Linked DNA regions of Ovis aries. The protein of the gene in region 3 purifies or fractionates together with the protein of the main gene of each other region. This does not show direct contact. Links are inferred from orthologs where the notes say so. Each region holds a gene or a part of one and is shown on either strand. Other genes may lie near its edges. The genes, in order: ATP2A2, ATP2A1 and PLN.

Region 1 (3,653 bases), on a different chromosome or scaffold from region 3:
GAGCAGGAGAGAACACCCCTCCAGCAGAAGCTGGATGAGTTTGGGGAGCAGCTATCCAAAGTCATCTCCCTTATATGCATTGCAGTCTGGATCATAAACATTGGGCACTTCAATGACCCAGTTCATGGAGGCTCCTGGATCAGAGGTGCTATATACTACTTTAAGATTGCAGTAGCCCTGGCTGTGGCAGCCATTCCTGAAGGTCTGCCTGCTGTCATCACCACCTGCCTGGCTCTTGGAACGCGCAGAATGGCAAAGAAAAATGCCATTGTTCGAAGCCTCCCTTCTGTGGAAACCCTTGGTTGTACTTCTGTTATCTGCTCAGACAAGACAGGTACACTGACAACGAACCAGATGTCAGTCTGCAGGGTAAGTGGAAGTAGTTTAAGAATCTTTTCTGAGTTATGGTTGTTGATTGATCATCAGAATATGCCCTCATATCATTAAAAGCTTTATTGTTTTGTTAAATTTTGTTTTTAATGTAGTTGACAATGATTTGTTGGTTTCAGGTGTACAGCATAGTGATTCAGAGATATATGTGTATATTCTTCTAGATTCCTTTCCATCGTAGCTTATTAAAAAATACTGAGTATGGTTCCCTGTGCTGTACAGTGGGTCCTTGCTGGTATGCAATAGTGTATATATGTTAGTCTCAAACTCTTAATTTTAACCATTCCCTTTCTCCTTTGGTAACCATAAGTTTCTTTTCTAGTCTGTGGGTCTACTTTTATTTTGTAAATGAGTTAATTTGTATCTTTTTTTTTTTTTGGTTCCACATGCAAGTGGTATCACATTTGTTTTTGTCTTACTTAATTTACTTAGTATGATCTCTAGGTCTATCCATGTTGCTGCAAGTGGCATTTTTTTCTTTTTTAAAGCAATTATTATAGTATAGTTGATTTATAGTGTTGCTAGTTTCAGGTGTACACAAAATGAATCAGTTATACATATACATAACATGCTCACTCTTTAAAAGATTCTTTTCCCATATAGGGCATTACAAGAGTATTGATCTGTTTTCTATATAATGGTGTGTATATTGTCAATCCTAATCATCTTCTTTATCCAGTCATCTATCAATAGACAATTACTTGCTTCCATGTCTTAACTGATGTAAATAGTGCTGCTGTGAACATTGGGGTGCGTGTATCTTTTCAAATTAGTTTTCATAATTTCTGGATATATGCCCAGAAGTGGGATTGCTGGATCATAAAACTTTTGGTTTATAATTTGATACCTTTTTATGTGCTTTAAGCAAATTGAATTTTATCTGATAGAAGTTATCTACATGAGTGATACACTTGTATTGGGGAAGTAACTATAAGCAGTCTGTAAATGTATTAGATGACTATGCTTCCTTTATTTCCTTGTTCTTCTAAGTGTATGTATGTTAATACAAGCTTCAAAGTAAGAATTGTATAAAACCAGCTAGTTATCTGCCTACATAAAATTCTAATTGGTATTTCCTTAACACATTGAATGAAACATGTTTTTCTTCTTGAAAAGTAAATAATTGAGTTTAACTTGATTCATTTTGTGTTCATCCTTCCTTCCTCCTATGTTGTTTTGACTATCACTTTAGGATAAAATAAACTGTTTAAACCTGCCCTAAGCAGAATAAAGAAATAATGTAATGATACAGCTGAATGAAGTTCTTTCATGTAATTTGATTTCCGTAGGTTTTATTCAAACAACTTTGAGGTAGAAGGATGAGAAAAACAGTATAAACTTCTAGTTACCAAATAAGTGTGTCATGGGTATGAAATGTACAGTGCAGGACAGTCAGTAATAATGTATCTATGTATGGTGGCAGATGATAACTAGACTTAACGATGATCATTTTGAAATGTATAGGAATATCCCATCATTACCCCATGTACCAGGAAGTAATAACATTGTGTAGGTCAATTAAACTTCAACAACAAACAGAAAAAGAGCAAATTTGTGGTTATCAGTCTGGAGGATGAGAAATTAGATGAAGGTGAACAAAAGGTACAAACTTCCAGTTAAATATTAGGGGATGTTGTGCACAACATAAGTATAGTCAGCACTCAGTTCAGTTCAGTTGCTCAGTCGTGTCCAACTCTTTGTGACCCATGAATCGCAGCACGCCAGGCCTCCCTGTCCATCACCATCTCTGCTGTACCTTATATGTGAAAGTTGTTAAGAGAGTAAATCTTCAGAATTCTCATCACAAGGAAACAATTTTTTCTTATTTTGTATCTATATTAGAAGATGTATATTCACTAACTGATAATCATTTCATGATGATTGTAAGTCAAATCATTTGTACAAGTCAAAGTGATTTTTCAAAAGAGATACAACTCATAAATGTTGAATGAAATTCATGTCGAAGATTCTGTTTGGGTCATTAGTTCAATGAGAGAAAATCAGTAAGATGGTAAAACTGGTTACAGGAACATGTGAGGAAGTGCTTAGTATTAGAATAGGACTAGTGTGTGTTACATTATAAAAACTGGTTAATATCACACAGAGAAATAAAACTAAGTTCATCTTTTATAGAGGACAGAAAGCCGCAACTTCGTAAAACATGAGTCTTTTATAATAGCAGAGTGAAAGAATGGGAACATTTTCCAGCGCACTGAGTCTTTAAATGCCTGCTAAGTAACGCTTCTGAATGACATTGGAGGGCACGCCATCAGCCCCTTGGCCTTATCTCTGGGTTTTAGATAATGGGTTTTTTAGCATTAGAAATTGTTCTTGTTTTAATACATTGAACCCTCAGACTCTTTACTTACTGAATTTAAATTTGTGGTAATTTTTTGATATACGTACCCTCAGCTCTTTGTGTTGTCCAAAACCCAGATCCTGATAGCTCAGTTGGTAAAGAAAAATGGACGGGTGTCCAGGTGGCAAGCTTCTAACTTAAGTAGATGCAGATTGTAACTGAGCTTCCTAAATTTTCTTTCCTTGGTCCCCCAAAATGTTGGATTTTTTTTCTTATATTTTCCCTTAAATAATCTGATTTCAAATGTTCTGTTAAAGAAACAGCTTGCCTCTTTGTTCTGTTCTACCTTTGGGGACAGAAAGCTGATGCTAATCAGTATTCTACAGGAGGTTTCTTGCAGTAGGTTGCATAACTGCCCTTGACTTAGGGGTACTTTCATCATGCAGTTTCTAAATGGCTTACTGGCTTGCAGTCTAAAAATGCCTGTGTGCATTCAGATTTAGTTTGTGTGGGTTAGAATTCTGAATGTCTTAGAATATTTTGTACTGTGGTATAGACCAAAGAGCTTCACTTTATAAACAGCGTCATTAAAGAAGTGACATGGTGTAGTCATAATGATGCCAGCTTGCTTTAATAAGTCTTAGTGCAGTTAATTTTTCACATGTGACTTTGTCTGAATTACATGGTAATACTGCTCAAGAGGTTAGAAAACTTAGGCTCTGAGAAATTGTGCCATGGCTGAGGGTCCCACAACTTTTAATAGTAAGGTAAAGTTCAGTTTCCTGATAGGAGAGATCGGTAAAACCTGTTTCTCTCTCCCACTTAATAATTGTGTAACCTTGAGCACATCCTTTAACCTCTCTATTCCTTTTTTTCCTCTTCTGTAAATGTCAGACATTTTTGGAAAGAGCTTTCTGCCAAAATTCCTTTTTTAGATGTTGTATCTGCTAGGGAAAAAAAACTG
Region 2 (3,653 bases), on a different chromosome or scaffold from region 3:
GAGAGGGGAGAGAGCCAGTGAGCTTGCTCTGTGGTTCAAGGAGGCCAGCTGGGCTGGCTCAGGGTGATTGCCTGAGCTCCTGCCCTTCCGGTGAGGGAGAAAAGGTCCCCAGGGTGGGGGCCTCTCCCTTCCACGAAAGCGCTCTCCAATTGAGAGCGCACTTCCACGTACATCTGCTTATTAGATTTTCACCAAGACTGTGTTCTGAAATGTACACGTCATTGTCCCTGTTTCACAGAAGAGCAAACCGAGGTTAAGTCATCCAAAGCCATGCAGCTTGTGAGTAGTCAGGCAGGGATTGGGGTCAAGGCCTTTTTTCTCTAAGGGCAATGAGTTTCCCATCTGCCTCCAGGGGCTTCTTTTCAGAGTCCAGACTTCCTCCAGGATTGTTGCTTGGTCCTTCCTAGGCTGAGAAGAGAGAGAGTTAGGGGCGGGAAGTCTGAGAGGACATGACGTCATCTGAAAACCCCTCCGGCCCTTCTCCGCAGGCGAGTCTGTCTCTGTCATCAAGCACACAGAACCTGTTCCCGACCCCCGAGCTGTCAACCAGGATAAGAAGAACATGCTTTTCTCGGTGAGCCCTTCAGGGCCAGCTGTCCTGTGCTCTAGCCAGGGGGCCCTGGTCTGGGAGAGATGTGACGGCAAGGGAAGAGATGAGGCCCACAGCTGAGGGGGTGAGCTGCAGCACGAGGGGCGTTGTCTGACTCCCTGCCTCTTCTTTCCCTTCCCAGGGCACCAACATCGCAGCCGGCAAGGCCATCGGCATTGTGGCCACCACAGGTGTCAACACCGAGATTGGGAAGATCCGTGACCAAATGGCTGCCACAGAGCAGGACAAGACCCCTCTGCAGCAAAAGCTGGATGAGTTTGGGGAGCAGCTCTCCAAGGTCATCTCCCTCATCTGCGTGGCCGTCTGGCTCATCAACATCGGCCACTTCAATGACCCCGTACATGGGGGCTCCTGGATTCGTGGTGCCATCTACTACTTTAAGATCGCCGTGGCCCTGGCTGTAGCTGCCATCCCCGAGGGTAGGGCGACATCTCTGTCTCCTCCCGTTTGCTCCTCTCATCTGCAAAGACCTTTCATCCGAATAAGATAACATTTACCAGTCCCAAGGATTAGGCCCCGATATCTTTGGGGGCTGCTCTTCAGCCAGGTGGCACAGCTGTTAAAAGAATCTCTCTGCCAGTGGAGGAGACGTGATGAGACGTGGGTTCAATCTCTGGGTCAGGAAGATCCCCCTGGAGAAAGAAATGGCAACCTGCTCCAATATTCTTGCCTGGGAAATTGCATGGACAGAGGCCTGGTGGGCTTCACAGTCCACAGGGTCCCAAAGAGTTGTATACGACTGAGCACGCGTGCATGCACACACACATGCGCACGCATGCACACGCGCACACACACACACACACGGCTCTCCCTCTGTCCCCCAGTTTAGTTCCCTCACCCCCTCTTTTACCCCACAGGCCTTCCTGCAGTCATCACCACCTGCCTGGCCTTGGGCACCCGCCGGATGGCAAAGAAGAACGCGATCGTGAGGAGCCTGCCCTCCGTGGAGACTCTGGGCTGCACCTCTGTCATCTGTTCCGACAAGACGGGCACCCTCACCACCAACCAGATGTCTGTCTGCAAGGTCAGGGCAGGGTGGCAACTTCCACTCAGATGGGAGGTGAAATGGTGGGGTGACTCCTTCATCACGGGCCTGAGAAAGAAATGCTCAGAGGGCACAGGGCGCCATCCTGCCAGCTATGAGAGGGAGCAGAGAAGCCCATGTGTCCTGGGCAGACAGCTCTCTTGGCCCCCATCCATGTGCCAGACACTGCCGTGTGTTATCTCTAATCCCCCACAGCTGCCCCAGCAGGGGAGGGTTTTGTTACCTAGTTTTCCAGAGGAGGAAACTGAGGCTCTGGGAAATTCCATGCACAGTTAATAAGGAGCAGAACTGAGTTTCAGACCCAAGTCTATCTGGCCCTGGAGTACCTGCCTGTGCACCAGACTACCCTCCAGAGTGGTCCTGTGTGACGGGGCAGGAGGAACCTGGTCACATGAATCCCAAATGGCATTTCCTAAACCAGGGCCCTTGATCTTGGGCCTTGGACCCTTTAGCCGTCTGGACCTCTACATTTAATATTTTCAGTGTATAAAATAAAACACACAAGATCCTGTTTTTAAAATACACTGGATTGGGAACTCCTGCCGGTCTGATGGTCAGGGCTTGATGCTTTCGCTGCCATGGCCCAGCTTCCATCCCTGGTCGGGCAGCTAAGATCCTGTCAAGCCAGGCAGCGCAGGCAAAAACAGAAATAAAATGCACTGGATTACAGAGGAAACCACTGATTGAAACACAGCAATCAAAATATTTTAAATCGTGATTTGATAACACATATGCTTCTTTAATAATGTATTAAGTAGCAAGTCCAGCAGTAGTTCTCATAAGCGCCGTAACGCTGAGGCAGGGATGAGTATAAATGCTATTTTGAGAGCCCTGAAACAATGCAACGTGATAGGAGAGTGTTTATGATTTTATTGGTGGCCAAGTCACAGGTTTTGCTAATGCTAACGTGGTGCATTGCCCACATTCATAACTGGACGGAAATGCTAAATATCAGAGAAAAAATGGAACGTAATTTTAAATTTTTTAATTCATTTTTAATTGAAGGATAATTGCTTTAACAGTATTGTGTTGGTTTCTGCCAAACATTAACATGAATCAGCCATAGGTATATCTGGAAAAGATGTTAGTTTTGTTTTGCCATCAAAGTTCACAGATCCCTTGGTCTGTGGGGTCATCCATGGACCTGAGGCAAAGAACCCCTGACCTAAACACAATTCTCTAGACTAGCATGTCTGTGAAATAGAAATTACTGTCCTAAGAATCAAGGCCTCTCAGACCAGGCACAGAAAGGCTGTACTATAGGCCTGCTGGCATTTGAAAGCCTCGGAGAAGGCTGACCATAGAGAGGATGGATTTCCCTCTATTTAACCCAGATTTTCCCAGACTTTGCTGGCCGCAGAACCACTTTATCTTGGAACGTGTCTTAAGCCCCATCCCTTCCACACTTGCTCTGGTTCAGGGTGGGCTTCTCGCCTCTGTGCTGCGTGACCTACATTCCCTCCAAAGCACAGGCATCAAAGCCAGGCCACTGGGCTCCTGTCATGTTTCATAAAAATGAACTCATTGCCCCCATTTGAAAAGTTAAGAGATTTCATAGAAAAATAACCTGAGTTTCTAGTTCTTCCTGCAAAACTGGAAGATCTCGCTGCAAGAGGCTGGAGCTGTAGATGGGTCACGTGCTGACACGTGGACCGGTGGCTGCAGTCCCCAGAACATCTTGTGATGCACCTCTTATTTTACCAATTGATCTGGAGGGACCTTCAGTGTGACCGGCAATAACCTTAAAAAAATAATAATTTTATTTATTTATTGGCTGTGCTGGGTCTCTAGTTGTGCGAACTTTTCCCTTGTTGTGGTGAGCAGGGTCTACTCACTCATTGCAGTGTGCAGGCTTCTCCTTGTGGTGGCTTCTCTTGTTGCTGAGCTTGGGCTCCATGGCATGTGGGCTCAGCAGCTGTGGCTCCCAGGCTCTAGAACACAGCTCGACAGTAGTGGCACACGGGCTTGGTTGCTCCGTAGCATGTGGGATCTTCCTGG
Region 3 (4,183 bases):
TTAAAAATGCCACAAAACTATAAAAACAAATGTAAAGAAATTAACCTAGGAATCAGACCAATCATTTACCTGGGAGGAGAAAAAAACAGGGGGAATACGGGCAAGATCATGTAACTATTTAGGTATACGTTAGTAGCCCAATTTGAGGGGACTCTCTTGGTGGTACAGTGGTTAAGACTTCGCCTTTCAAATCAAGGGGTGTGGGTTTGATCCCTGGTTGGGGAAACTAAGATCCCACATGCCTTGTGGCCAAAACACCAAAACATAAAACAGAAGCAATACTGTAACAAAGTCAATAAAGATTTTCTAAATGGTCCACATTAAAATCATGTTTTTAAAGATGTGGCTTTTCTTTAGGTCATAAATTTAGAGGTACTTATTTTTTTAACTATTAAAATATAATTAAAACTAATGAAACTAGTAATTACATAAATACAAGCAGGCTTTGCAATGTTAAGAGTATATAAAACACCATGAATTATTATGAATCAAATGAGCACTGTAAATAAAATTTAAAAAAAATTTATACAGACATTCAATTTAGGAAGGATAGGCTTATACTTCAACATTCCCTCACTCTTACTCTACAAATATATTTACACCATTTTTAAATGACACGAAAGTTATTTTCTCAATGCTGTACTCTTATCCCCCATCTCTCCCAATTATTTTCTTCCCCCACAATGAGCTTTAAAAGTTATGTTGCTTTTTTTTTAAACTGCCTATAAGATTTCTGCAGAATCATTCAGTACCACCAAGCAATCTTTCCTGGTTCCTCCGTTATTAATTCACTCATCCAATCATCCATTCAATCAGTATCTAAGAACTGCTATGAGCAAGGTGCTATACTAGGTAATAATACTATAAGGAATAAAGAGGATATAAACATGAGTTATTGGATCAGCGGAGCTTGCAATTTACTTGGGCAGATACATTTCTAAACACAATAAAATGAGATAGGTAATAATAGGGGTACATGCAGAAGTGTTTCATAAGAAAGAGAGGGCTGCACAGAAAATGTAAATTGAAACAGCACTTTAACGGGGACACAGGTTAGTAAGGAGGGCATTCCTACAAGAAGTGAGGAGGCTTAAAATAGAACAATAGCTTGTTCAAATAGCTGCAGGCAGCTGTACAGGGCCAGGGCACAGGATACAAAGGAATGTGATAAGAGACGAGCTGGAAAAGCAGGACCTAAAAAAGCAAACTAGGAGATCTGGGTTTTAGCCTGTCAGTGTTCTTTCCAAAAAGGGCTGCCCCATACAAAGACAGAAACCGCCTCCAACACAGGACTTCTTAATTTTCTGTGCCATGGACTTTTTCTGGCAGATGGCTGAAGCTGGCTGATCTGTTTTTATGTTTTTATATCTTAAAATACACAGGATATCAAGTAATTTTTATAGACACTCCACTCCTAAGGTAGGGAAGCATAACTGTGGGCTGTGTACAGTAACTTTCTTCTGGAAAGTAAAAGAAGGAAGGAGAGGGAAAAGAGTAACTTTACCATGGAGAAACTTGACGAATGCTTCACTCCAGCCAGGTGGTCCAGGTTAACAACACTGGTAAGTCATGCTGATAGGTATGTACACTTGGTATGTGGTGAAAACGGTACTCTACCTCTCTGATCTTCCTCTCAAAAACACATCAACCGGCCTCACCATGAGAAAGACAGCAGACAAGTCCCAACTGTGGACGTCCTGTAAGAAACTCTCACAGCCAAGGGGACCAAAGGACACGAGACTACTAAACGTAATCTGGTGTCCTGGACAAAATCCTAGAAAAGGAAAGGAACACCAGGGAAAACTGAAAAAACGGGTTTTGCTTAAAATAAAGTATCATCATTGGTACAACTGTTGTGATAAATGTACCATACTTGTGTAGGATATGTCAACAACAGAGGAAACCAAGTGTTGGGCATACAAGAGCCCTCTATACTATAGTAAGTAAGTAAGTAAGTGTTAGTTGCTCAGTCGTGCCCGACTCTTTGCAACCCCATGGACTGCAAGCCCACCAGGCTCCTCTGTCCGTTTATTTGTACTAATTCTGTAAATTTAGAACTGTTTTAAAATAAAAGTTGAAAAAATGAGAAACATACATTAGAAAAGAAATTACACCAAAATACATATTTAAAAAAAAACAAATTTATGTTGTAATATTTCTGCTTTATTTCCTTTTTTCTTTTCTGTCCTTCTTTATTAATGCATTAAATAATAATATTTACAGGCAGCTTAACTGCATAATTTCAAGTGATATGAATATGAACAGTATTTCAAGCTATATGCTGCAACTGTTCTATATGAAATTATCTAAGACGGCTATAGTGACAGTAAACATACAACTGAGGAAAGGCTGACTCTCATTTAGAGTTCAGTAAAAATAAAGATCTTTAACATTTTTCCTATCCAAGTTCAAAGGGCACTGGACTCTACCCCTGGGCTGTAAGAATCATCTTCAAAAGGAAAATAAGTACTAACACTAAATGGACACTGTGCTGCAAGATCTCTAAGTCATTATATACATATTTCATCTTAGGAAAATCCTCGCAACAAACCCATCCCACAGATAAGGCAGCTTAAAGAAGCCTGAATAAGGTCATATATACCAAAAATGGATTCAGACTATAGTCTGACTCCAAATGAAGATTCTGACAAAGCACCTCTAAAAACACTTTCTAGACCTTCATGGTGGAATTTCTGAGGAAATAGCTACTGATTATTCTGTAGTTCACCAAAGCTCCTAGTATACAACTTTCTGTTTAGGCAATTAGCCTAAAAGGAAGATGTAACACTTCCTAGAGCTCCGTTTAGACTAACAATGATGATCAGCAACAGCAGCTAAACCAAAGGAAAACGGCAGACACAAAAGCTCCCCACTCTTGCACAAATCTAAAAAGTAGACTTTTATCTCCTCTTTCCAACTCTAAACACATACACTTTGTTAATATCCTTCTGGGTATACATATGTGTTTTGTGTGTGTGTGTGTGTGTGTGTGTGTGCGCGCGCACGTGTTTCAACCTACATAGGCTTTTTGAGCAAATCTGCCAACATGTGAAATATCTAGGCCATATTTTATTCAGTCTGTGCTAGCTTCTTACTTTATACAAGTATTACTAATACTATTTTCTTAGAACTAGAGGTGCTCATACTGCAATGATCCATCCTCTAAGGTTCATTTTCAAATGAATGTGTAGGCAAACTTAAAGCAGACTTGCTAAAAATAGTTTGTTTTTAATAATTCATCTGTTTCCATCTTATAATTTCTTAGTTGATGAACCCTACTCTCTGAAATGCATATCCATGTTACACTATAGCTTCCCCCTCTAACATGCCAACCTGCCAGAGAATTACAACTAAGAGGTCCAAATCTGAACCGTCAGTCTGTCACTTAGCAGCTATGTCATATTTGACAAATTACTATAAATCACATCAGGGTTGTATTTCAAGTCCCTAGGTTTTGAATGTTGGTAATCACTAGCAATTGATAATAATCAGACATCCTTATTATGTAAAGATTGAAAGAAAAAATGCTTGAATAGTATACTGAGCAAAATGTCAAACGTCCATGCAATTTACTTAATTTTGGCTTTTCCTTTTAAGCTGTAAAATTTTCCCTTAGCAATGTTCACAGAGGGCCTTTGCTGAACATTATTTCTCTGATAGTTTTAGCTGATTCTTTAAATAACAAGAGATTTGTTTTAGCAAAGGATTTATCTTTCTTTGGAAGAAGCCAAAATCATCTCCATTTAAGGACACATAAGCAGCTGCTGCAAAAGATTTTAGTTACCCATAAGAAAGTGAAGCAGGCTGAGTTCACTTTGCTGTAAGCATTTTAGAAATTAAAAATAACAAGTAGCTTCTCCAGAATTACAGTCGAGATTTAAGAATCAGAACTTGGAGGAGTGGTGATTTTAAGTTAATCTAATATATAAACAAAAAATATTGGGGGGGAAAAAAAACCAAACAAATAGGAAAACGAGCCTGGTTTGTCAAAGGAATTCTTTTCAGTTCTCAGAAGTTCGAAAGATCATTTACTAAAATTTCATTTACATAGTAAATTTCAGGAAAACAACTACTGCATTAACTGAGGCACACCATTTTAGAAATACTACTTAAATTTCCAGACACATGCCCATCTACCGTCAATAAAGTAGCATTAACTAGTACGCCACTGATCAGTTATGTG

Evidence for each region.
Region 1: the proteins of PLN (region 3) and ATP2A2 purify together in Homo sapiens (affinity purification with western blotting; 4 studies listed by BioGRID). This does not show direct contact. The link is inferred for Ovis aries from reciprocal best matches to the Homo sapiens genes PLN and ATP2A2.
Region 2: the proteins of PLN (region 3) and ATP2A1 purify together in Homo sapiens (affinity purification with western blotting, with the first as the bait; 3 studies listed by BioGRID). This does not show direct contact. The link is inferred for Ovis aries from reciprocal best matches to the Homo sapiens genes PLN and ATP2A1.

Annotation. Positions count from the first base shown.
Region 1 is NC_056070.1:54,282,284-54,285,936, forward strand, and holds part of ATP2A2 (sarcoplasmic/endoplasmic reticulum calcium ATPase 2), read left to right. Parts: coding exon 1-369; exon of another isoform or gene 370-3,653.
Region 2 is NC_056077.1:26,449,566-26,453,218, reverse strand, and holds part of ATP2A1 (sarcoplasmic/endoplasmic reticulum calcium ATPase 1), read left to right. Parts: intron 1-488; coding exon 489-574; intron 575-731; coding exon 732-1,029; intron 1,030-1,467; coding exon 1,468-1,634; intron 1,635-3,653. UniProt on the Homo sapiens protein: Key regulator of striated muscle performance by acting as the major Ca(2+) ATPase responsible for the reuptake of cytosolic Ca(2+) into the sarcoplasmic reticulum.
Region 3 is NC_056061.1:19,658,785-19,662,967, reverse strand, and holds the start of PLN (cardiac phospholamban), read left to right. Parts: upstream 1-1,327; 5' UTR 1,328-1,562; intron 1,563-4,183. UniProt on the Homo sapiens protein: Reversibly inhibits the activity of ATP2A2/SERCA2 in cardiac sarcoplasmic reticulum by decreasing the apparent affinity of the ATPase for Ca(2+).